Nothobranchius furzeri: one gene and its partners. The protein of the gene in region 1 purifies or fractionates together with the protein of each later gene. This does not show direct contact. Links are inferred from orthologs where the notes say so. Each region holds a gene or a part of one and is shown on either strand. Other genes may lie near its edges.

The links.
Region 2: the proteins of prmt1 (region 1) and chtopa purify together in Homo sapiens (affinity purification with western blotting; 7 studies listed by BioGRID and IntAct, with this or other methods). This does not show direct contact. The link is inferred for Nothobranchius furzeri from reciprocal best matches to the Homo sapiens genes PRMT1 and CHTOP.
Region 3: the proteins of prmt1 (region 1) and dhx9 purify together in Homo sapiens (affinity purification with mass spectrometry; 3 studies listed by BioGRID and IntAct, with this or other methods). This does not show direct contact. The link is inferred for Nothobranchius furzeri from reciprocal best matches to the Homo sapiens genes PRMT1 and DHX9.
Region 4: the proteins of prmt1 (region 1) and alyref purify together in Homo sapiens (affinity purification with mass spectrometry; 3 studies listed by BioGRID and IntAct, with this or other methods). This does not show direct contact. The link is inferred for Nothobranchius furzeri from reciprocal best matches to the Homo sapiens genes PRMT1 and ALYREF.
Region 5: the proteins of prmt1 (region 1) and hnrnpub purify together in Homo sapiens (affinity purification with mass spectrometry; 4 studies listed by BioGRID and IntAct, with this or other methods). This does not show direct contact. The link is inferred for Nothobranchius furzeri from reciprocal best matches to the Homo sapiens genes PRMT1 and HNRNPU.
Region 6: the proteins of prmt1 (region 1) and kpna2 fractionate together in Homo sapiens (co-fractionation; 3 studies listed by BioGRID, with this or other methods). This does not show direct contact. The link is inferred for Nothobranchius furzeri from reciprocal best matches to the Homo sapiens genes PRMT1 and KPNA2.

The regions. Positions count from the first base shown.
Region 1 is NC_091758.1:13,908,465-13,911,964, forward strand, and holds part of prmt1 (protein arginine N-methyltransferase 1), read right to left. Parts: intron 2,393-3,500; coding exon 2,297-2,392; intron 2,161-2,296; coding exon 2,005-2,160; intron 1,933-2,004; coding exon 1,869-1,932; intron 1,786-1,868; coding exon 1,643-1,785; intron 1,042-1,642; coding exon 954-1,041; intron 1-953. UniProt on the Homo sapiens protein: Arginine methyltransferase that methylates (mono and asymmetric dimethylation) the guanidino nitrogens of arginyl residues present in proteins such as ESR1, histone H2, H3 and H4, FMR1, ILF3, HNRNPA1, HNRNPD, NFATC2IP, SUPT5H, TAF15, EWS, HABP4, SERBP1, RBM15, FOXO1, CHTOP, MAP3K5/ASK1, MICU1 and NPRL2.
Region 2 is NC_091751.1:23,238,926-23,242,582, reverse strand, and holds the end of chtopa (chromatin target of PRMT1a), read left to right. Parts: intron 1-2,031; coding exon 2,032-2,209; intron 2,210-2,280; coding exon 2,281-2,433; intron 2,434-2,519; coding exon 2,520-2,722; 3' UTR 2,723-3,157; downstream 3,158-3,657. UniProt on the Homo sapiens protein: Plays an important role in the ligand-dependent activation of estrogen receptor target genes. May play a role in the silencing of fetal globin genes.
Region 3 is NC_091751.1:34,779,871-34,783,799, reverse strand, and holds the start of dhx9 (ATP-dependent RNA helicase A), read left to right. Parts: upstream 1-1,129; 5' UTR 1,130-1,284; intron 1,285-2,054; 5' UTR 2,055-2,101; coding exon 2,102-2,212; intron 2,213-2,294; coding exon 2,295-2,435; intron 2,436-3,929. UniProt on the Homo sapiens protein: Multifunctional ATP-dependent nucleic acid helicase that unwinds DNA and RNA in a 3' to 5' direction and that plays important roles in many processes, such as DNA replication, transcriptional activation, post-transcriptional RNA regulation, mRNA translation and RNA-mediated gene silencing.
Region 4 is NC_091752.1:50,607,744-50,611,693, reverse strand, and holds the start of alyref (THO complex subunit 4), read right to left. Parts: upstream 2,801-3,950; 5' UTR 2,674-2,800; coding exon 2,434-2,673; intron 2,170-2,433; exon of another isoform or gene 1,937-2,169; coding exon of another isoform or gene 1,730-1,936; intron 474-1,729; coding exon 315-473; intron 230-314; coding exon 82-229; intron 1-81. UniProt on the Homo sapiens protein: Functions as an mRNA export adapter; component of the transcription/export (TREX) complex which is thought to couple mRNA transcription, processing and nuclear export, and specifically associates with spliced mRNA and not with unspliced pre-mRNA.
Region 5 is NC_091742.1:29,998,752-30,002,889, forward strand, and holds the start of hnrnpub (heterogeneous nuclear ribonucleoprotein Ub), read right to left. Parts: upstream 2,801-4,138; 5' UTR 2,662-2,800; coding exon 2,235-2,661; intron 397-2,234; coding exon 282-396; intron 1-281. UniProt on the Homo sapiens protein: DNA- and RNA-binding protein involved in several cellular processes such as nuclear chromatin organization, telomere-length regulation, transcription, mRNA alternative splicing and stability, Xist-mediated transcriptional silencing and mitotic cell progression.
Region 6 is NC_091752.1:67,643,898-67,648,137, reverse strand, and holds the start of kpna2 (importin subunit alpha-1), read left to right. Parts: upstream 1-1,440; 5' UTR 1,441-1,524; intron 1,525-1,750; 5' UTR 1,751-1,794; coding exon 1,795-1,851; intron 1,852-1,936; coding exon 1,937-2,077; intron 2,078-2,247; coding exon 2,248-2,339; intron 2,340-2,424; coding exon 2,425-2,693; intron 2,694-2,764; coding exon 2,765-2,859; intron 2,860-3,013; coding exon 3,014-3,277; intron 3,278-3,391; coding exon 3,392-3,625; intron 3,626-3,711; coding exon 3,712-3,894; intron 3,895-3,979; coding exon 3,980-4,129; intron 4,130-4,201; coding exon 4,202-4,240. Other genes in the region: nucleosome-remodeling factor subunit BPTF, read left to right, coding at 93-132.

The DNA of each region.
Region 1 (3,500 bases):
TCCCACTAGCTTAACAAGCTAATGTGCTCATCTAAAAATAGCCCCCTTTCACAACCAACTGAATGTGTACGGTTCCGCTTACGCCAATGTCATACACAAAAAATGCTGAACACCAACTAGAAATTCACGAAAACTTTACAGAAATAAAATAATCTAGTTTAATGGGTCTTTGGTAATTTAAGACCTTTGGAAACTTTATTTAAGGATTATTTGTCATTAAGGATTTTCAAGGCCTTAAATTTGGAAAAGTAAATTTAAGACTTTTTAAGGACCCGCGGACACCCTGTATAAAAGTATTTGTAAAAACTAGTAAAATCAGGGATGTGGTTTTTAAGTGAAAACAAAAACCTGAAAAGGGCCGGGGGTGTGGGGGTCGCCTTAGGCGAGGGTGAAGGGGCAAAGCCCCCGGTAGCTGGAGCCTTTTCACCCATCTTAAGTGTTTCTTGGCTCTCTGGGGCGTTTTACTCACTGTACACATTCACGCATGCACAGTGCTGACTTCCTGTCGGTTTCTCTATGGGCACCGCCATTTTAAACGTCATCACGCATGCGCCTAATGACCAGTGCCTGACCCTTCTGTTTTCTTGCAAACAGTCAGGGAACATGCAGGCAGTCTCGTTTTGAATTGGTTGTGGGCGGGGCCGGAAATCCCATTTCATTTAGGAGGGGAAAGTAAACGGTTTCATTTCAGAGTAATCTCTGAGTGGGACATGAAAAAAATGGCTGTCTCCTGCAACTAGCAGGGTGGGCCTCCATCATTAGCAAGTTCACTGAGAGACCAACCAATCAGAGGTGAGATGTCAGAGTATCAGGAATTAATTGAGAAAGACTATTTGGAAAACATCCCTATCAACTAATTTGCCAGAGATCGCCCCATAATGACTGGGTGATCTGAGCGTCCTTTGCTTTAATGGCACAACTCAAAATAAGGTCAGCAGTCCCCAGGTACTCACAGTGGATCTTGTAATCCTTGTACTGTCGGTCTTCTATGGCAGTGACATACAGAGTAGCTCTGTCTGGGAAAATGAGTCCATCTGGTTTCTGTTGGAGGGACAGGAGTAAAGAGGCATTAAAACCGGGAGGGACACTCTAGTTTTTGGTTTCAGTTTAGTGACCCTACAGTGCCCAGATACCTGGAGTCACCAAGGCAACCACAGCTAAACAAACTGCAGCACTTTAAGCCGATTAGCTGATCCTTAATGAGAAGCTGTCCGAATCAATCTGAACACACAACTCCACTGGTTCCACTTCGATCAACAAACACCAGGTCTTAAAACAGCTGATTTACAGCCCGCCAGTGATTGGTTCAACGTGGAGGCATTAAAACCCCCAGCATCAAGCCACCACTGTCTATTCACTCGGACCCATCAATGTTTAAGATCGAACGTTTACATTCCAGATCTAACCAGAGTTGGACTGAACAAGAGGCGGAGAATGTTTCTGGGACAAATGAGAGAAATTATCTGAGGATCAAGAAAGTCCTCTCGACCAAAATCTGTTTTCAGATCAGTTGATTTGTTAAAAAGTGAAGGTGTGAACTCAAGGTATGTAAAAGAAAACCCGCCAAGAGTAGGTGGAGTGTCTAATCTCAGGGTTAGACTCTGGGATTGAGTTTAACACGTTGGCTCTAACAAACACGCACCAGCCATTTGTCCCTGGCATAGATGACTGTATTGAGCATGGACTCATAGAACAGACAGTAGCCCATCCACTCGGAGATGATGATGTCCACGCCGTCCACTGGAAGCTCCACCTCCTCCACCTTCCCTTTGATGATGGTCACAACTGGAGAGAAAAGAAGACCTACTTCAATCATCCACCTTCCCGTAAGCCAGAAGAGCAGCACCACATGTGAACCATCTCCTCACCATCATCCAGGTTGTTGGCCTTCACTATCTTCACAGCATAGTCGGAGATGCTGCTGCACTCGATCTATTCAAGCAAAGACAGGTGAGCTGCTCATGCTCCCAGTGACAGATACACATGCTGCCAGACAACACCTACCCCAATAACCTTTTTGGCCCCCGCTTTGGCAGCAAACATGCACAGGATGCCCGTCCCGCTGCCCACGTCCAGAACCACCTTGTCCTTAAAAAGGTGTTTGTTGTGGAACATGGAGTTGCGATAGGTCAAAGTGCGAACTTCATCTTTCAGCATCTCCTACAGCAACGCGAAAGGAAAGGTGCAACAACAGAGAGAAACTGAGATCAACACATGATGAGGTCTCAACTATTACATCAAATAGGCTTAATGGTTTTAAATTCAGAAAATGTTTTAGGTACCAAACTAAACGTACCTCGTGGATTCCAAAGTGGGCGTAAGAGTCGAAGTAGTAGTCCTTTGATGTCATGTCTTCAGCTGCAGGCTTGACTGAGCTCTCCCCCTGAGAAACCTCAACAGAGACAAACAATTACTGGATGAAGAAATCTCAGTTTAGAGACAAACTCATTAATAACAAGTACAAACCAAGGAAAAGCTCCGACATAATATGGAGACAACCTTGAGGAATTTGGGCGTTGTTGACCAATCAATGTCTCTTGAAGGCCACTCAAAAACATTGGTCCGGAACCGTTTTCATCACTTAATATCTTTAAACTGCAAAGGTTGGTGTCGAAACACGAACTAGAAATGGTTCTCCATGCCTTTATCTCCTCCCGTCTAGATTACTGTAACACACTCTTCACATGTTTTAACAAAAAGCCCTTGACCGCCTTCAGCTGGTCCAGAACTCTGCAGCGAGGCTCCTAACTGGAGCAAACAGAAGAGCTCACATCACTCCTATTCTGATGTCTCTGCACTGGTTACCTGTTACCTTTAGAGTCATTTTAGAATCCTGACTAGAACTTTCAGGGCTCTACATGGTCAAGCTCCTCCCTATATTACTGAACTGTTAAAGCCTTATGCTCCAACCCGAGCCCTCAGGTCCACCCACCAGAACCTTCTAGAAGTTCCAAAGGCCAGATACAAAAGTCTAGGTGATGCTCCTTCCAGTCTGTTGCACCCCGGCTCTGGAATGATCTTCCTTTATCCTTATGTAGGATTGACAGTCTGGACACTTGTAGTAATCTTTCATTGGTTTTACTTTATTTTTTCTGACGTTAATTTATTTCTGTTTTGAGATCATTATATTTTATTTTGATCTGTGTGAAGATTGTGATTCTGCCTGTGATAAGTGTTATATAAATCAAATTTACTTACAACTAGGGTTGTCAGGGTAACCGGTGTAGCAGTAAACCCCGTAAAAAAGTTGACAATAATAATAACCGTCTTGTTTTTAAAAACTATATTATCTCGGTGGGTTTACCGTGGCTGCGGTGTAGGCGCGGTGACCCTTACCAGCCACCGTATCATCTGCTGAAGTTGCCGGCGGCACATGCACGCTTAGTTGTTTACAACCAAAACTTTCTTGAAGCTAAAGCTGAAATAATGGCCAAAGGAGGAGACGGCAGCACTCAGGACATTTATTATCCCTCAAAGAAGACAAAGTGGGAAGTACGGGC
Region 2 (3,657 bases), on another chromosome or scaffold:
GGGCTCGACTCCGTACGGACTTGCGTGCCTGCCGGATCCCTACGCAAGGACGGATAATGGCGTTGCGTGTCTCCGCACTGACGCAGACGGAGAAGCATAAATCAGGCTTAAAGCTGTGTTCAGTAGGGAAAAGGGCACAAGTTAGCAAAGGTCTGATGGGTTCTCAAGTCAGAAAGATTCTGTTCTGGTTTTATCAGTGAATTATCATTGAAACCAAACCCAAGCCTGACAGAAGATGCATTTGCTGTTTGGGAAGTACAGTCCTGATCAAAAGTTTAAGACCATTTGAAAATGGCCAAACGTCGTGTTTGTTTGGTTGGTCATTAACAAGGTCCCAAGTAGAGCTTCAATGTGCAACAAAAAAGAAATGGGAGTGAGACAACGATCAAATCGAAACGAGCTGCTTTATAGCTGATAAAAGGTTTAAAGAACAAGTTCACTGAGAAACCATTTTTATGTGTTATTTTTTTAAATGATTGGTCACTCTGAGTTTCACATGCAGGCTGAATATGTGAATAGTCTTCTACCCCTTTTTCCTGCATTAGCCGATAGAAAACAGACGAGGAAATTCTCAGGTTAGCAAAGCCAGTCAGATCTACCTCACAGTAAGTTAACATTCATGGACTCGGCCATCTTGGCTCAAGATGGGGAAGGCAGTTGTTGGTTTAGCATTCAGGAGAGACTAGAGCTTGCCTTGGCTAATAGAAGCTAACTGTTAGCATTAGCTGCTACTCTATACAGTAGAACTCATTCATTTATGGAGGTAAAACATCAATGATGCAAATCAAACAAGGTTAGTGGTAGAGTTGTGTTGCTGTTAGCCAATCAGGGGTGAGATGTCCAAATAGTCTTGTTGTACCCTTAAGCCGGGCGGACACTGTGCGACTTTTTCACTCGTAGCACTCAGCTTCAGCTCAAACTGTACGACTTCCTCACAGAGCAGATCTCACGAGTCGTGCGCTCACACTGCACGACCCAGTTCTCGGATGCGATCTGACTGCTCACGCTGTACGTCTGGTAGCAACACGTCGGCCCTAAAAATGTGCTAAAAATAGCAGTTTTTACACAACACGTCAGACTTTTTTGTCTTGTTTTGCCTGTTGTCCTTCGGGAGTGCTGCAGGGGGACACACAGGGATTTATGGGGGTTGGATGAGGAAAACAAAATAAAGAAAGTAAATCTGTGTTTTGTGATCAGTTTAATTTGACATGAACACGACAAACACGCTTTCTTGACAACCTTTGTGAGTAAAAAAAGTGTAGAAAATAAAAACGAACAACGTGTGTTATTAGGGAAATAGCGGGCGAGCGGTGTTGATGCATGCATGTGCCGTGAGCGGTTCTGGTACTTTTTGGGTCGCAGCTGCTCGCAGCGCCGCTTCAACAGTGCGATACCCTCACGAGGGACGAGCAAAATATTAAACACGCCAGAAGTCTGTGCGAGCTCACGATTGCTGATCGGTAGCTGGTCACGTGGTGTTAATCGCCTCTCGTAGCCCCCTGTACACGACGCTCAGCGCAAAACTCGCCCCGATCTCGTGGATTCTCGCACGAGTGGAAAATCGGCTCAAAAAAGTGAAAAAGTCGCACAGTGTACACCCGGCTTAACCTGAGCTTTCCACTGGATGCATAAGTGACGCGGTTCCTCACGAGCTCAGCGGTGCATATCGTCTCACCGGGAGATTTTCTGACATGAAGCGGCAGTGAATGTGTCACAGCTGGACCCACAACGTTACAAAATCACAGGAAAACGCTAGATCAAGCATGATTTCAGCGGTTCACGTGATAACAAGCATGGAGAAAGATGGTAACGGTATCCTAGCAGGTCTGTGGTGTACTTACTGTTTACCTCAGTCACAGAGGTTTTACAGGTAAATATAATAGAAGCTAAGTGCTACGTACTACGCTTTGTGGACATTTTGTGACGCTCGCGCGTCTGATGGAAAGCTGGGATAACAAGCTGGACCTACTCTTGCTTCGCTTTATTTGTGTTCCTGATTTGTTGCTGTGACCGATCCTTCTGAACCACCAGAGCCTAAAGCAACGTCTGGGGAAAGGCAACATCCAGGCCCGGCTGGGCCGGCCCATTGGGCCTCTGATGCGGGGTGGACCTCCTGGAGGAAGAGGAGGCATGCGGGGGATGACCAGAGGAGGCCTCAGAGGGGGTTTGAGAGGAGGGATCATTCGTGGGGGTCTGTCTTCTCTGAGGGGTAGGTGTCCGTCAGCGTGGAGATGGTAGGGGTGTTTCCTCTCAGCTGAGCAATCACATTGTGTTAAACAGCCAGGCGAATGCCTACAGGTGGACCTATGAGAGGTCGGGGGGGCATCGGACGCTTCCCCATGCGTAGAGGAGGTCGGCATCGTGGAGGAGTGGCAGGAAGAGGAGGAGTTCTGTCTCGAGGAGGAGGTCGAGGTGGAATGCCCAGAGGCCGGGGTAGAGTTTGTATTTATTAGTACAATCGTTTGATGACTCGTGTCTTTTTTTTTTTCACTGTCTCACTGATGATGTTCTGTCTTCAGGCCGTGGTGGACTTCGTGGACGTGGGGGATTTGCTGGTCGTGGGGGCCGCGGCCGTGGGCGGGGCAGAGGACTTGGCCGGCCCACCGTTACAAGGGAACAACTGGACAATCAGTTGGATGCGTACATGTCAAAGACCAAGGGACACTTGGATGCAGAACTGGATGCCTACATGGCCCAGGCAGATCCCGACAGCATGGAGTGACGGCCCAGCGAGACCAGAGCTGAAGACTGGGGCGTAGCGTCAAGTGGTGTTGCTGCACCCTGTTGTTTAGCCGTGCATCCACCTGCTGCTGAAGAGCCAATCAGCTGATGAATAAACTCAAGGGGACTTTGACCCTGATGTCCACGGACTTCCTGTATGAAGTTTTAGTCAAACAGGTGTTTGGTGTAAACTGTTTAGTTTTTCTTAGTTTTTCCTCAAACCTCCAGAGTTTCTTTGGCTCATCTTAAACTTGCAGTGGAAACGTTTTTTAAAATGATAATTTTACAAGAATTTTAAGACGAGTCATTTTCTCTTATATTTGACAGGGAAAGAAGTGCTCAGGCTTTGGGTTGTTTGTATTCCGTGAAGCTGACAAGATGTTTGTTTTAAAATTATTTCCCAAGTTGTGTTAAGGAAATAAAATGATGAATGAGATATTTTCTGATTCATGTCAAACATTTAAGGCCTGTAGGTGTTCTGGAGCATGTAGAAAAGCAGATGTCCTGGTGTGATCTTAGCTTTTGTTCTGCGATTGGTGCCCACAGGGACATGGTTTCCATGGCTGTGTCTCACTGGGAAAACGTCACCAGTTAGAAGGTTGGACGTTCAAACCTAAGACCTACAAACTTCTCTATACTACATCCTGTGAACCATGTGTGTGTGCGCACATACCTAAAGGATTATTAGGAACACCTGTTTAACTTAATGCAATTATCTAATCAACCAATCCCATGGCAGTTGCTTCAGTGCATTTAGGGGTGTGGTCCTGGTCAAGATAATCTCCTGAACTCTTAACTGAAGGTCAGAATAGGAAAGAAAAGTGGTTTAAGCAATTCTGAGCGTGGCATGGTTTTTGGTGCCAGACGGGTCGGTCTGAGTATTTCACAATCTGCTCAGTTACTGGGATTTTCACCCACAACCATTTCTAGGGTTTA
Region 3 (3,929 bases), on another chromosome or scaffold:
TAGGGTGGAAAATAAAAAATTATGTTCTATAGAATCAAAAGCTTTGAAATAGTCTATAAATAAAATGAGGCTGTCCGTTTCCAAAATAGACCAATAATCCAGTATATCCAGTACTAATCTCACATTATTATGTATGCTTCTTCCTTTTATAAACGCAGACTGATTATTATCTACTATTTTATCAATTACCGTTTTCAGTCTTTCTAATAGCGCTAATAATTTATAATCATTGCACAATAGAGTAATTGGCCTCCAGTTGTCTAAGTCTGTTGTATCTTTTTTTGGTTTGGGAAGAAGGGTTATTATTCCAGTTTTCATTGTTGGGGTAAGACATCCTTCATTTATACACTCATTAAATGTACTTAATAACAATTCTTGAACATCTTCCCAAAAAAAATTAAGAAATTCTGAGGTCAATCCATCAATACCGGGCGATTTCCCATTTTTCTTTTTTTTTCAGGTAATTTTCTACTTCGTTAATATTCAAATCATCCTCCAGATTTTTCCTGTCTTCCTCTCCAATAGATTTAATATTGTTCTTTATCTGAGTGAAGAAGGATTTACATTCCTCCTCACAGAAATTAGAACAATATAGGTCTGAGTAAAAACGTTGAACTTTCTCCTTTATTTGATTTTGGTCTACTATTACAGTGTCATTTTTTTAAATTTGCATATTTTCTTTTTGGATTGTCTAGACTTTTCTAATCCATAAAAATATGTTGAGTTCTTTTTAGTGCAACTTAGTATGATGGGTATGATCTGACAAGCTACGGGTGGCGTGGCGCTGTGGCTCATCCTTCATTAATTTAATTGAAAACATCTAAAGGTTGGAAAAGTAATAACACCACCCTGCAGTTTAACTCAACTGTGCCACCTTGTTGTAATCATTTTTTAATCAGTCGTTTAGTCGTTTATGCCTAAGTATCGCCCGAAGCTTCCTCGTGAACAACCAGTGGCAGTGGCGTTACAGGATCTGCTCGGGAACACACCGGAAATGAGTGCTACGTCGAGGTCTGTTCGCCCATGTATTATGTCGTATTCATGTCCATGCATAAAACAAGCCTCGATATTTAATGAAGTATATATATCAGGAGGCTTTGTTGTTTCATGTGTGTTCTTTTACATTTTAGCCAGGGATACGTGGAAAGGAACCACACTAAATAAGTAGTGGAACCATTGAAATGTATATAATCTAAACCAAAGCCATTTTGGAGGGGACACATATCAACGTCACACAGACCATTCATCCGGCATTTGCGTTTGCTTTGGTTGTTTTGGTCGAATGTGAGTAAAAAACAATTTGAATATTAACTGTCTTTATTCTCGTTGCGTTTCTTACTTGGGTTAGAAGGTATGTCGGTGAAAACGTAAACGGTGTGTCTACAGTTGGCTAGAAGCTAATGCTAGGCGCTAATCTCATCGGTTCACTCACGTTAAAGCTGAAAACGTTACCTCAGTTTGTACTCTTGACGGAATGTAGCTCGTTGTAACCATCGACATAAATATACGTTGTAACACGCTGTTATCTTTATTATAAGTAAATAGCAATAATTAAAGCTTGCATTTTACATCAAACCCTTCCGGCATGTTTGCTAACGGTAGCTAATTAAAAGGCACGAGAAAAAACAGTCCGATTCAAAACAAGTGTTTGAGTTTCATTATAAGATCCAGATGCCCCGCCTGATTGCCCATTGACCGCTGGAGATGGGCACCAGACCCCCGCGATCCTACGTGGACAAAGCGGGTTCAGACAATGGATGAATGAATACGATCCAGAACCACCATAGAAGTAAAGATGTCCATGGAAACAGCGGACACAGAGTTTCAGGCTAAACTCCAGCGGACGTGATGTTCATTAATCCCCTAAAGGCAGTTTGGTTCTAATTCTCCTGCTCGGAATTTTTTTTCCTCAACAAAGATCATTTTATCGTTTAAGCTGCCACCGTTAATCACATTTATTCTGATCTGCTCGCTCGTCTTGTCCAGCTGAGGCAGATGTTTTATGTATTAGTGAGGATGCATCTGTACTTTAAAATGTTTATGTAATTCTTAAGACCAGAGAGTCCACAGAGGAGGAAAGTCCCCTTCCTGTCAGTCCACCATGGCGGACATCAAGAACTTCCTCTATGCCTGGTGTGGGAAGAAGAAACTGACTCCAAGCTACGATATTCAAGCTGCAGGAAACAAAATCAGGCAGAAGTTTAAGTGTGAGGTGAGTCCTCCACCTGGTTCACCTGAGGATGCCGTCTCTCTCCCTCTTTATGGTTCTGACCATAAACACTCTGTGCCTGCAGGTTCGTGTTGATGGCTTCAACTACACAGGGATGGGGAACTCCACCAACAAGAAGGATGCTCAGACCAACGCAGCCCGGGATTTTGTCAATTATCTGGTCCGAATTGGACAAATGAGTGCAGCTGAGGTTCCTGCTCTTGGGGTCAGTTCTGTTTAGTTTTTACTCTGAATGGTTTTTGTGTTTACAAACATTCACACTGGTGATGTAGGCTTAGGGTTTCCCAGAGGGATGCACCAAAAATGTTGGCCACCAAAACATTTGGCTGAAAATGACCCGAAGGTGCTTTTTCTGTTTTTTAGCCGAGACAGACCTCCGCCCTCATGTGGCAACTTGCTCTTTGCTTCATAAAAATCATACATTCGTACTGATTTCAAAAGGATAGTAAAGTTTTCTTCTTTTTAGTAATGCTGTTTTATTCCGATCACTGAAATTATCATATCGATTATATATGCAACACACTTTAACTGTTTTCACATCTACCGCGTCTGCCTGACTTTTTTTTTGCTCTTTGACATTCCCCTATATCTGTCACTATTAGCGATGTTCCTTTCTGCACCCAAATATGTCCTGAACAGTGAAATAAGCTTTGGATCGTGTGTGTGAGGCGTGTTTACACTCATGAAGCACACAGACACTGTTGCTGCTGTGCAGCTGCAGTGTCTCTTTCTTCCTCACTGAGAACGAGTGATTGTCTTTATCCGAGGGTGAATATTACTCTTCAGAATCAGTCGGCCATTACCAGACAACTTTGTCAACAGTTAACTCTATGTACTCCGAACACTTTAACAGAAACACCAGAAAGTGTTACTCAGCTTGAAGTTACACTACACTGTCTTTTGGTGTAAAGTAAGAACTTCATGAGGGATTATATTTGCAGCTGTGGCTCGTTAAACACAATATTTCGACTTTGGCACCTAAAGGGTTAATTATACGGCCTTTCTCAGCATGCCTGTCAGTTTTAAGTCTGTACATTTATAATTTGTAATATATCAGTTTATTGCCAGACTTGAAGTCCATTTTAAAAGAAAATAACATAATGATAAAAAAATAACATACAAGATAAACACAGGGAGAAAAAAAAAGATACCAATTAACATGAATACTAATAAGATCCTATATAAAACACAGGATATAACTGCAGCGGGAGTAAGGGACAACAAAACTAACTAGTTGAGATAAATCTACCCCAACATTTTAACCAGTGCTTTCTCAGCCTAGACAACTAACGAGAGCAGCTCACAGTGGGATGTGAATGCAACTATAATACTATTGGAAGATTCAGCCGTCTCATGAACTTGAATATTAAATTTCTTAGAAGCGCCTTAAATGTGCACACTCAGAAACTAACGTTTAACTAGCACTGCCTCCCCTGGGAATTTTGAAGAGGATTCTCATTGCATCGTTGTAGGCCACTTGTAGCCTGTGCAAGCTAGACTTTTATAGAATGACCACAGATGTGCAGTATATAGTGGTGTGCAGTATGCTTTAAATAATGCCACTTTAACAGGTGTGGAACAACTGCTACATTTCCCTGCAGTGGTGTTTGCTTGCACATATAGCTTGCCTGTAAATATCATCATCGTCACTCATATTGGCTGTGATAAAGTGTCCAAGATATTTTATCTTCTCACAGAC
Region 4 (3,950 bases), on another chromosome or scaffold:
AAAGGGGGTTGAACACTCAAGAAAGTTTGAATTATTTAGTCATGTCAAACCAGAAAAATGTAAACAAGGTCTGAAGCGTACCATCCAGTGGGATGCCGTTGTACTGTTTCATGGCCTTTAGAGCGTCAGCTCTCCTTTCAAAGTGGACATCTGCTGTTCCTAAGCTTCTTCCCGACCGGTCGTAATGAACTGCAGCTTTCTTCAGAGTTCCGAATTCCGCAAAAAGTTCCTTGAAAAAGTACATCCAAGATTAGTCTAAGACAGCAACAAGCCATAAAACACAACCAACCAGTGAAGCGCGGATTTTGGAGTACCTGAATGTCTGCATCGGAAACACCGAAGTCGAGATTGGAGACGAGGAGCTTCCCTCCAGTTTCCACACCAGCTCCCCCGCCACCCCCAGCAGCACCATTGAAGCCACTGAAGCCGTTGTCGAACATGTCGTGCTGCCACTTGTCTGGGAGCTGTTTAGGCTGCAACAGATGAAAGAGAACGCACCTGCTGACTTCAGGATCCCCTTGCCTCTGCCCATCACTGAGTCCACACGGCTGGCTGTTGGGGCAAGCAGGGGGCTCCACTTCCAACATGGTGCTCAGCTCCCTTTAGAGGGGGGGGGGTCCCCAGTATTCCCTGCCCACCCCGTCACAACGAGCAAGTGCATCAGCTCAAAGGGACGTGCACACAAATACTCAAAAGCAAGGGGATTTGTAGTAGTCTCGCTTCGATTCAAATTTTGAACTTTTTTAAACGTTAACACACCAATGTTGGGCCATCTTAAATCGGAATGTGTACAAACATCACAATAAAGTCCATACTGATTTAAGTTAGTAAAAACATGCTCAAACTAGGGATGCAACGATACCACTTTTTTCCAAACCGATCTTAGTACTCGCCGATACCAATACAGATACTTCTACCACACAAAAAAAAAAAAAATGCAATGATTTGGAATGCAGATTTTACTTTCTTCTCTGCTTTCAACAGGAAAAGACTGTGAGGTAGATAAAAAGTAAAATATATGAATGGAAATCATCACAAAACTAAAATATTAGGTGAACAGAAATGACAAGTTACAGTGAAGCCATTTTCAAGCAACTGCATTGGTATCGGTTCCTGGTATTGGTTAACTTTCACCGATACTGGTATTGGTATCGGTGCCGATACCAGTATCGTATCGGTGCATCCCTAGTTCAAACTCACTGGTTCCCAAAGTTAGGACAGGACACCAATGTTGAGATTATCAAATTTAAAAATAATTGACATATATGAAGAGAAAACATCTAAACAGACCAACTGACAAGCGTTTAGTCTTGGTGAAAGTGGATGGAGTCATCTTCCTGTCCTAATGTAATTGTCTTATTGGCTATTTGTACGTGTCCGTCATGAATAATGAAGGTTTTTAATCACAGATCTTGTAAATCAGAAGTTAAAAGATCTGGGAGCCACTTGTTTCAATCACTCTAATCAACTGTCTAAAGAAAAATGGTCCCATTAAAGCCCACTTAAAATAAAAATGTATTCTTTAGATCCAAGTTTGATGTAGTAAATGGATTAAAAACAAAACCATAAAAACAAAACTCAACAGTCCTGTTCTGGGTTTCTAGTGAAATAAACCCTAGAATAGACTAACGAGCCTTTCCAGAAACCTAAGTATTACCATCACAGATATTTCTTAAACCCAAACCCACAGACTTGATGCTAAACCTGTAAAACTCCTCAGACTAGCTACCAGAGATGCCCATTGTTCTCGCCATCTGCGCCTCCCTCCAGAAAAGCCAGCTCCTCGGGACACTCGGGGACTCCTGTTCGATGCAGCGGCGTCTCCAGCGCTGGTACTTTGTGTCCTGGACCTCAGAACAGTTCTCAGTAGGGGAAGAGTCCGTGTGCTGGATGAGGAGTGAAAATGGCCAGATCTCCCCTCTGCGTGAGCGTCCATTTTGAAACCACGCCATTTTGACTGGGGCTTTGTTTGGCTTCGCTACCAACTCGATCACACTTTAAAAGACGAAGAACCGGTTTTGTTTGGGCACTAACAGAGGAGTAAAAGTCCGCTTTTCCATCCACAAGTAACAGGCAAACTGGTAGAAAAAGCCACCAGAGGGCTTGAGAACCCACTCCCCGAACAAAAGGCCGCCTGGTCGCTGCGCTGGCGGGAACTTGAGCACATATCCCGCTCCGACAAGCAGTGAAAACACACTTTCGAGTGATACTCTTGACGAAGTGGGTTTCTTTCACCACCGTGGCCAGGATACCTCTCACTGAGCACTCACTGACGACTAGCTTCACAATGCGGGGCTGGATTCAAAATGGCGCTGAGGGCCTCCACTCCTTCCGTAGGCTGTTGAAGCTCGACGTGCGTTACACATTTGGGTTGCGGGAGAAGGGACACAATATGAAAACATTTCTCTGCTTATTCCTCTAACATTCTCATACCCTGCTGTAAGGCGTAGGTCTGCCTCTAGCGCGACTCAGGTTCTGTCGATTCCTCATGGGGCCGGATCCACCGCCTCGGCCTCCAAAGCCTCCGCCGCCGCCTCCGAGTCGCCCAGCGCCTCCACCCCGGCCGCTGCCTGTGCCTCCGCGGCCACGGCCTCTTCCTCCCCGGCCTCCACCTCTCTGCTGCCTGCTCTGTTTGATAATGTCGTCTAAAGACATATCCATCTTATCGGTCATTTTGCTGCCCCAATAACGCTAAACTTTGAACAAATTAAGAATGTTACACCCTAGACACGGTCGGTCCCTCTCCCTGTCCCTTTCAAGGCTCAACGGTGTCTGATTCTTGTAGCAGCTGCTAAACACAAGTAGTAGAACACGACGTTCTCTACGTAAGCCTGACGTGAGTACGTGAACGTGATCCCCTCTACTGTCGACGATGAGGCGGAACCGGGCGGAGCATGTATCTAAAAGAAACCTTGACAGGAAAATGTGCGAATTGTGCAAAAGTTCTACACAGATGTGGTAAAATACAGAACAAATAAATAAATATTTTTTTGACAAATATGACATATAACATTTGATCGAAACTAAAACTGTAAACTGAAGAAATAACCGGGAAAAACTAAACCACATCAATCATCAATTCTTAAAAGAAACTTTCACAAAGTCAAGGATTTTAAAATAATATAGTTAAGTGTTTAAAGAGCAAGACACTCCCAGATCAACTTTTTTCTGATAAACTATATAAATGCGTATCTAACCGTGCTGCAGACACGTGTAGTTTTGCACTTTTGTGCATTTAAGTTAAAATTTAAATTTTCTGCCTAAAACTGTGAGTGTTGTGCCGTTGTCAGGTAAAAACTCTGCACTGCATTTGAATTTAAATCTGCCATCGTTATTGGCAAAGGGGTACCCTAGAACGTTAGCTGGTAGCATATGATGTCACAATGTCGTTGTGTGTGTGTGTATTTGTTAGCGGGCCCGCCCTCTTGGTCTGCTAGGCAACAGAATTTGTTGCATTTTTCAAACAGGAAGTGGGAGCGGAGTAATACTCTGGTAGGGGGTGACTTGCTCTTTAAGCAGTTACACAGAACTGGTGATGGCTACTGACCCCTTAGATTTCTAAACTTTTGCTTTTTTTTTTTTTTTTTTTTGCACAACTAACCAGTTTTGGGTTGCTTTTAGCAGCCCCTAGTGTTCTGTTAGTAAAACCAAAAGTGAAACTGTGCATTCACCTTTTTAAACACCTTAATCCATAATAATGTCTCCCCATCCTTCCTTAATTTCTACAGGAGCAGCTCATCACTAAATTGACCAAACCAGCAGTGTTTATGATCTAAAACATGCAGGAAGCAGACTGCAGCACCAGGCATGTCAGCTCCACAAGTCCAACTCTGAAGTTGCAAGTGCGACATTCTGGCCATAGAGGGTGGTCGGGGTCTGAGTGACATTTCATTAACCCTGTACAGGGTTGTTTTAGCACACACTGGCTCAAGAAAATTTTAAAATATGAA
Region 5 (4,138 bases), on another chromosome or scaffold:
GAACAGATATGAGATTGATAGATGCACTTCTGCTACAGAATGCAGTCGTTAAAGACACAATGTGAGTGTAAAAAGGTAAATGGTAAGGCTTTAGCTATTCAGGGATGACCCTCAAACACATGTGTGAAAGGTTATATCATAAATATATGATAGAATACTTCAAACGAGGCTTTACCTCTTGCTAGTTATGTGCATTGGCACTTAAAGCCAATACAGTTCAACAAAGCTTGGATGGCGCTTCAGGGATGCTGAAGGCCACCTCGGCTCTGTCCCATCCTTACCAGCTGTATTTGTTCTCTTCAATAAATTCAAAGTAGCCCCTTCCATGTTCCTCCCGGCGTCTCTTAACACCCTTCTTATTCTTCTGATCAGCATTCGTGTCTTTGTCCGCATCTCCTTTGAAAATAGAACAAAGATATAGAATGAGGTGCTCCTTTTTGAGAGAGAGAGAGGTCGGACTGGCAGTGGGGTTCTGGCCCACGAAGCCCGTTCATTATTTACATTGCGTCTAGCATGATTACCAAGAGGAAACACCTCATAGTTACATTTAAAACAGTACAATCATATTACATGACTTGTAACAACTGGTAAGACCAGGTAGTAATTACAGCATGAACTGGCCCAAATGAACAGCAGCAGCAGAGCTTGATGGGGCTGGAAAAGGGGTCGTGAAAGGGTAAGAACCCTTCAGATACAAGTCCTCTAGTCCTAGATGAGGGTCTACTGCATCAGGGGGAGTTAACCATGCAGGGAAACCTACCTAAAGCCCAATGACACCCCCCGCTAAAGAAAAGGATGATATGTAAATAAAAATGTATGTATACCCTTTAATATCACGCTTGTATTTCAAATCGAAAACACACGATGGACGTATCAGGAAAGTTGTAGGCCACTCCGTTCTTCTGCAAAGCGCTGGGTTAGCAAGTTCAGAGGTTCCCAAGCTCATAACCCAAACTAACACCCAAATACAGCTTCAGGTCTTTTACATCAGCCTGCTGAGGCTCTTCCTTCAAACATCTGCACCTCATAACCAGACCTGATGCTAGTGTTGGCTTTTGATCCGGCTAAACACGATTCTGGACTTCACTCGTCTACACTAGATAGAATCTTTAATAATTTAATCAATCACATACAGTCCAAGACTGGGACAATTTAGTTCTTATGGGCAACTCAAAGTGGTCCAGCCCAAAAACACGCAGACATCTGGACTAACAGTTTGAAGCTGACATGCACTGACCTGCGGAAGGAAACCATGGAAACCCACACATGCACGCGGAGAACAAGCTAACTCCATGCAGAAAGGCTGGAGCTGGGATGTGAACCTTGCTAAAAGCTAAAAGTGCTACCAAATGGAGTTTGTGAAACCGTTAATCATTCAGTAAGACTAAAGTGTTATTGATAACGGGACCACATCAGAACCAGTCATATGAAGCAAGGTGACAGACTCTGGTGCCTTGCTGATCTCTGGACCAGATCAGAAGCGGTCCTTGTAGAAAACTTCATCAGTAATGTGTGCCACTCCTAGTTGATCAGAGGTAGAAAATGTAACGCATGGGGGATTTAGACCACGTTTGGACCCACTCATTAAAAAAATCTAAAAACTAAAATTGTCTTCAGTAATTTGTGTTTTTGCGACTGGAGCACGTAAGAACTGATCCTGTTCTGAAAACAGAACACGTTTTAGTTTTTATATGTATTAAAGAATTACTTTAGCCCCCTCCCGCCTCGTCTACGTGCTGTAGTTCTGAACTAGAGCTGATCAAACGTAGTCCAGATGAAGCCTTGGCGAGAGGAAAACCGACTAAAGCGTGATGGGAACCTCTGAAATGGCTAACACGGCTAGCTAGCGCAGACCGATACAAAGGAAAAACGATGCTAACTAGCGTGCTACTATCAAGCGACACAAGAGAAAAATAACAAATTAATTTCTTAAGAATTATTTATAAGCATGTTCCTTAGTTAGTCCGTGTCAATTAACCTACTATCCGTTGGTAAACTGGGTTAGAGAATCGTACATTTAAATTATTGTAACCAAGGCGTTGGCTAATGCTAACTAGCCTGAATCACGCTGACTGACTCAACATGGACGCCATGATAAGCGGTAACAACCGGCTACCCCTCCCTTACGGAAAAGCATTCAAATCTACGCTACAGTTCCCACCTCCCCCCACAAAATGACACCCAGCCACGGTTCATCCAACAAATCATTTTCATAGCGTATTGTTTCTTCTCACCCTCAGTAGCGTGATCGCCGGGCTCACCATCTTCTGTGTCAATTTTCTCCATGTCGTCTACATCCTCCTTTAGCATGGGATCCATCTCGTCCTCCTCGTCACCTTCCTCTTCCCCCTCACCCATCTCCTCGTCCACCGACACACCGTTCCCGTCGCCGTCATTCGCCGGCTCTTCTCCCTCGTTGGCCTCCATGCTCTCCTCTACCGGGCCTTCTTCTTCCTCCCCCATACCCTCCTGGATGTCCGCGGCCTGCTCGTCCGTCGCCACATCCTGAGCGGCCGAGTCTCCAGCGAGGGCCTCCTCGTCCAGCGCGGCCTGCAAGCGGTCCATCAGATCGGCCTTCAGCCCCTTGTCTGATAGGTTTCGTTTCTTGAGCTCGTCTTTTAGCTCGTTTACTTTAAGCTTCTTCACGTTAATCGTGCTCATTGTGGACGTTTAACGACAAACTACTAAAATACGTCGACAAATAAACAATAACGTGCACTTTGTTAGTAGATGTTGCTCGAAACGACGCCAAACGTTACGCGCGATCCAACCTTTCACCAACGGAGAGGGAGCTGATGAGCCAGCCTCGGCGGCGGGAGGGGGAGCAGAGCGCTAACCACTACCGTAATGATCCTAAAAGCAGCACAGTCGAGCCAGAGCCACCACGGTATTAAAACTGGAACAAGAACAGGGCAGTGCAGAGATGAGAGACGGGTGCCCCAAGTTTAAACGGGGCACCTAAAACAAGACTGTCAAACCCCTTACATCATTTACAGATGACCAGGTAGACTAATAACAACTCATTATCAATAATCTATCTAATCACACCATCTGCTTCAAGCTGTGTTTTGTTGCCTCTACCTTTATTGCGCCTGTTGCTTGAACAAAGGGCAAAACATTCAGGCTCTAGATGTGGAAAGCTGGTAGGGACATAACCCAAAGAGACACCCCCCAAAGCCATTCAGCTGTAATTGCAGCAAAAGATGAGTCCACAAAGTATTTATGCAGGGGGCTGAATACAAATGCACAACACACTTTCATATTTTTATTTGCTTAAAATTTTTGAAAACCATGTTTCATTTCACACTTATGTGCTTTTTTATGTTGATCTAGCAAAGAAAATATCAATAAAAATATTGAAGTTTGTGGTCAAAATATGTAGAAGTTCAGAGGGTATGAATACCTTTGCAAGGCACCACGTATGTATGTATGTATGTATGTATGTATGTATGTATGTATGTATGTATGTATGTATGTATGTATGTACGTACGTACGTACGTATGTATGTATGTATGTATGTATGTATGTATGTATGTATGTACGCATGTATGTATGTATGTATGTATGTATGTACGTATGTATGTATGTACGCATGTATGTTTGTATGTATGTATGTACGTATGTATGTATGTATGTATGTATGTATGTATGTACGCACGTACGTATGTATGTTTGTATGTATGTATGTACGTATGTATGTATGTATGTTTGTATGTATGTATGTATGTACGCATGTATGTATGTATGTATGTACGTATGTATGTATGTACGCATGTATGTTTGTATGTATGTATGTACGTATGTATGTATGTACGCATGTATGTATGTATGTATGTATGTATGTATGTATGTATGTATGTATGTATGTATGTATGTATGTATGTATGTATGTATGTATGTATGCATGTATGTATGCATGCATGCATGCATGTATGTATGTATGTATGTATGTATGTATGTATGCATGTATGTATGTATGTACGCATGTATGTATGTATGCATGTATGTATGTATGTATGTATGTATGTATGTATGTATGTATGCATGCATGCATGCATGTATGTATGTATGTATGTACAGACGCAAACTGCCTTTCAACCAGTGATGGGTCGGCAAATGTATCTAGCTCATAGAGCG
Region 6 (4,240 bases), on another chromosome or scaffold:
CCATTCACCCATTCTGTCTGATTATTCCTAGCAAGAACAGCAATAAAAGTGTGAGGAGCTTTCATTTCTTCCCCTTTCTCCACATCCTGTAGGTCTCATAACAACAAACTTCAGGCTTCTTCGGTCTCTTAGAAAAATGCTGTGTAGAAAATGCACTCGCCAAGAAAACGGCTTTTCCAGACCGACTCTACAACACGCTGCCGGGCGACCGAGTCAACCAGCACTGCTGCTTTCACGGCGTTTTTCAGACAGAGCTGCCCTCTGCACGTTTTCAGCTGCAAGGCGGGCGTCTCGGGACCTGTCTTCATAAGAAGCTCTGCACTTGGGAGGAGGTGGTGCGAGGACAGCGGAGGCACTTCAGATAAAGTTTACTTCTGGAGCTGAGCTCTCGATTCCGTGTAATTTTCTTTTAACCCTTTTTTTTTTTTGTAAAAAAAATCCTCAGGCCTTTCTTGTGGTCTTCATGTCAGCTCATAACAGAAACTTCAAGACTGATGTACAATGGCTGAGCTTTACTGAGCATCATGTACCATGAGATTCGTCTGAATTCAGACGACTATCTTCCCCGCCACTCATTTCCACTTATCTTTTTAGTCTGAGGTGGCATGAAAGAAAGTTTACTAAATATTTGGACATCAGTAGTCATCTTGGTTAAACTTCTATATATCCTACTGAAAATATGGTAAAAGGCTATTGTAAGTGAATTTGCAGTAGTGACTGAGAAGTATGAAAATTATGTATTTGAAGGTTCCTGCCCTTTTTGTATAAAAATGAAATAAAAAATTCATCAGTTCTTGACTTGATTTTTTTGTGTTACAAATGAAAAATATCTGAACTACACTGCATCACTCTCAGCTCGTCCATAGGAATCTCCATCCCTGACTAAAAAATCTCAAAATTACAATATATATTTACATAATTACTATAAATGTGTCAGATTTGCTTAATTGTGTGTGCCTAAATGTAATCTGAATTATTTATACATTATTTTCCCCTGCTGTCTCAAACAGAAACCGATTCTGACTTTAATCTCAGAATCCTGACTTGGTTTCTCATAATTCTGAGAAAAAAATTATAAAAAATGAATACACACATTTAAAACACTATTAGACACTCATTTATACAGTTTATCAGCAAAAAAAGTTAATTTAGAGGTTACTTGCTCTTTAAATATTAAAAAAAAACCTCACTCGACTTTAGTAAAAGTTTGCTGCTCCGTTTTAAATTAGATTTAGTTTTTGGCTTTCGCTAACTTTGGTGTGTTGGACATTTATTTTCTAGCCTACAAGAGTGAAAAGATTTATTTTTAACACTACAATCTAACCCAACAAGCGCTGTTATATAAGTCTCGCGATATTCTCGTAACGTAACGACATTTCCGGTGCGTGTTATGAAATTTTTGAACAGTCCAATGAACGCTCAGGGCTCGACGTTTGGGCTCGAACGGGCCAATCAGAGGCGAGTCTAGTAGGAATTTAAAGGTCTGTGCGGTATTTTCTCCATATCACAACTGTTCCAGTCCAGGTGAGTGAGGTCTTGCTGCTCATTCGGAAAGTTTGAAACGTGTTTACGATTTCTTCCCCTTCTGTTTCGTCTGTCCAAGCCGTGATTTCACTATTTTAATTAACTAGCAATGAACTAATTTCAAACAGGAAGTAAAGCGCTCGGCGGTTTCTGACGGCTCATGGTGTCACGAGGCAGCTCGGAGCAAATCGATTAACCTTCGTGTGAAATAAACGTGTTTCCGCAGGAATTGAACCAACTTTGCATCTACTCAAGTCCACTAGCTTGAAAATGTCCGAGAACGTCGCACGTCTGAACAAATTCAAGAACAAAGGCAAAGACGTTAACGTAAGACTCGCTGCACCCAGCGTCAGTGATCGGGGTAGAATGCGCAGACTTGTGTTGAACTTGAATTCGTTTGAATCTGACGCAGGAGCTTCGGCGCAGGAGGGCTGAGGTGAACGTCGAGCTTCGAAAAGCCAAGAAAGACGACCAGATCTTCAAAAGGAGGAACGTGTGCACAGAACCGGAAGAGGCCACTTCTCCTCTCCAGGAAAGAACTCAGAACGGCCAGGTGAGACTTCAGGTGTCATTCGTTAAGGACGTGGTCTGCATCTTAAGCTGTAGGGGGGTGAATAGTCCCAGTATCTGGTGAAAGTTGCAAACCCCGAGCCTCGTACTTTGATTTTGAGCCCTGTTTCTTAACTTTTTCCACTAAATTATGACCCACTTTTGCCCCATTAGCAGAATTTAAGACAATGGACCGTGGAGGAGATCGTTACTGGGGTGAACAGCGGTAATCTGGAGTCTCAGCTTCAAGCCACCCAGGCTGCACGGTAACAGTCTTTTTTTTTAACGTTGCAAATTCCAAAGTAAACCAGTATTGATGCAGTAACTTCAACCGTGATGTTCTGTCATCAGGAAACTTCTGTCACGAGACAAGCGCCCTCCCATTGATCAGATGATCAGCGTTGGTCTGATATCCAAGTTCGTGGCCTTCCTCGGCCTGACGGACTGTCCTCCTATCCAGTTTGAGGCGTCCTGGGCTCTGACGAACATCGCCTCTGGCACATCGGATCAGACGGCTGCTGTTGTGGAGGGTGGGGCCATTCCTGCCTTCATTAACCTGGTCCTATCCCCCCACCAGCACATCAGCGAGCAGGCAGTCTGGGCTCTTGGAAACATTGCAGGTAAGTGCAGAGTTATTCTTTAGGCAAGTTTTTTTTTAACCTAAATAACTTAAATTTTTTTATTTGTATAGGTGATGGATCTGCTCTCAGAGATATGGTAATTAAGCACGGTGCTGTGGCACCTTTACTCAGGCTGCTGGAAGTTCCTGACTGGACTGTCTTTAGTGTAAGTCTTCTCGGATTTTACATTTTCCAAGAACTCCATTTGGGAAATGGTCGCATTCCTGTAATCGTTAATCCCTCCCGCCACTAGGTGGTGTCCTAACCCAATAAAATAATTCACCCCTTTAGTCTGACACCTGCTCTTCTGTTCTCTGTAGCCTGGCTACCTGAGGAATGTGACTTGGACTATTTCAAACCTGTGCCGTAACAAGAATCCTTCTCCTCCGATGAGTGCAATCGAACAGCTCCTACCTGCTCTCATTCGTCTCCTGCATCACAATGACCTGGAGGTGCTTGCTGATGCATGCTGGGCCGTGTCCTACCTGACTGACGGCTCCAACGACCGTATCGAGGTGGTGGTCCAGACGGGGCTGATTCCTCGCCTGGTGAATCTGCTCGGCTTTGAGGCGCTGTCTATAGTTGTAAGTAACTTTTCTGGCAAGTATGGTTTCTGTGGGCTTCAGCCGTCTTAAACCTCGTGTCCTTGCACTGAGACACAACTTGGACCCGGTTGTTAATGGATCATCCTCCCCCAGACTCCGGCGCTGCGTGCCATCGGAAACATCGTCACCGGCACAGACGAGCAGACTCAAGCGGTGCTGGACGCCAAGGCGCTGACCATGTTCCCTCACCTGCTGCGCCACAAGAAGCCCAACATCCAGAAGGAGGCAGCCTGGACTCTGTCCAACATCACAGCTGGGAAGGACACGCAGATCCAGGAGGTCATCGACGCAGGCCTCGTTCCATACATGGTGGAAATGCTCGTTCAGGTATGTCGTCGTGTCACAAGATTGTTGAGTAAACTTTATTTTTCTTCTAACAGTTTAGAAATATATTTTTATTTTTGCTTCTCCAGGGTGACTACAAAACTCAAAAAGAAGCGGTGTGGGCAGTTACAAACTTCACCAGTGGGGGCACTGTTCAGCAGGTGGTGTATCTGGTGCAGGTCAATGTTCTCGAGCCTCTTCTGAATCTGCTCTCCTCCAAGGACAGCAAAACGGTCCTCGTCATCTTGGACGCAATAACTAATATTTTCATGGTGAGCACATGTGTGAATGGACTGGATCAGCTGATTTCTCGTGTGTGGCTTCACGGTCCTGAAACTTGTCTGTCGGATTCGTCAGGCTGGGGATAAAATCGGAGAGGCCGACAAGCTGAGTCTGATGATCGAAGAATGCGGCGGACTGGACAAGATCGAGGCGCTGCAGTCTCACGAGAACGAGATGATCTACAAAGCTGCCCTCAACCTGATTGAGAAGTATTTCTCTGAAGAGGTGAGTGTGGCAGTGAAGGTGTGACCAGTTAAATGTTTGTTTGTCTCATGGACTCGTGTGTTTTTGTTTTAGGAGGAGGAGGTGCTGTGTGTGGCTCCTGAAGCTACAGAG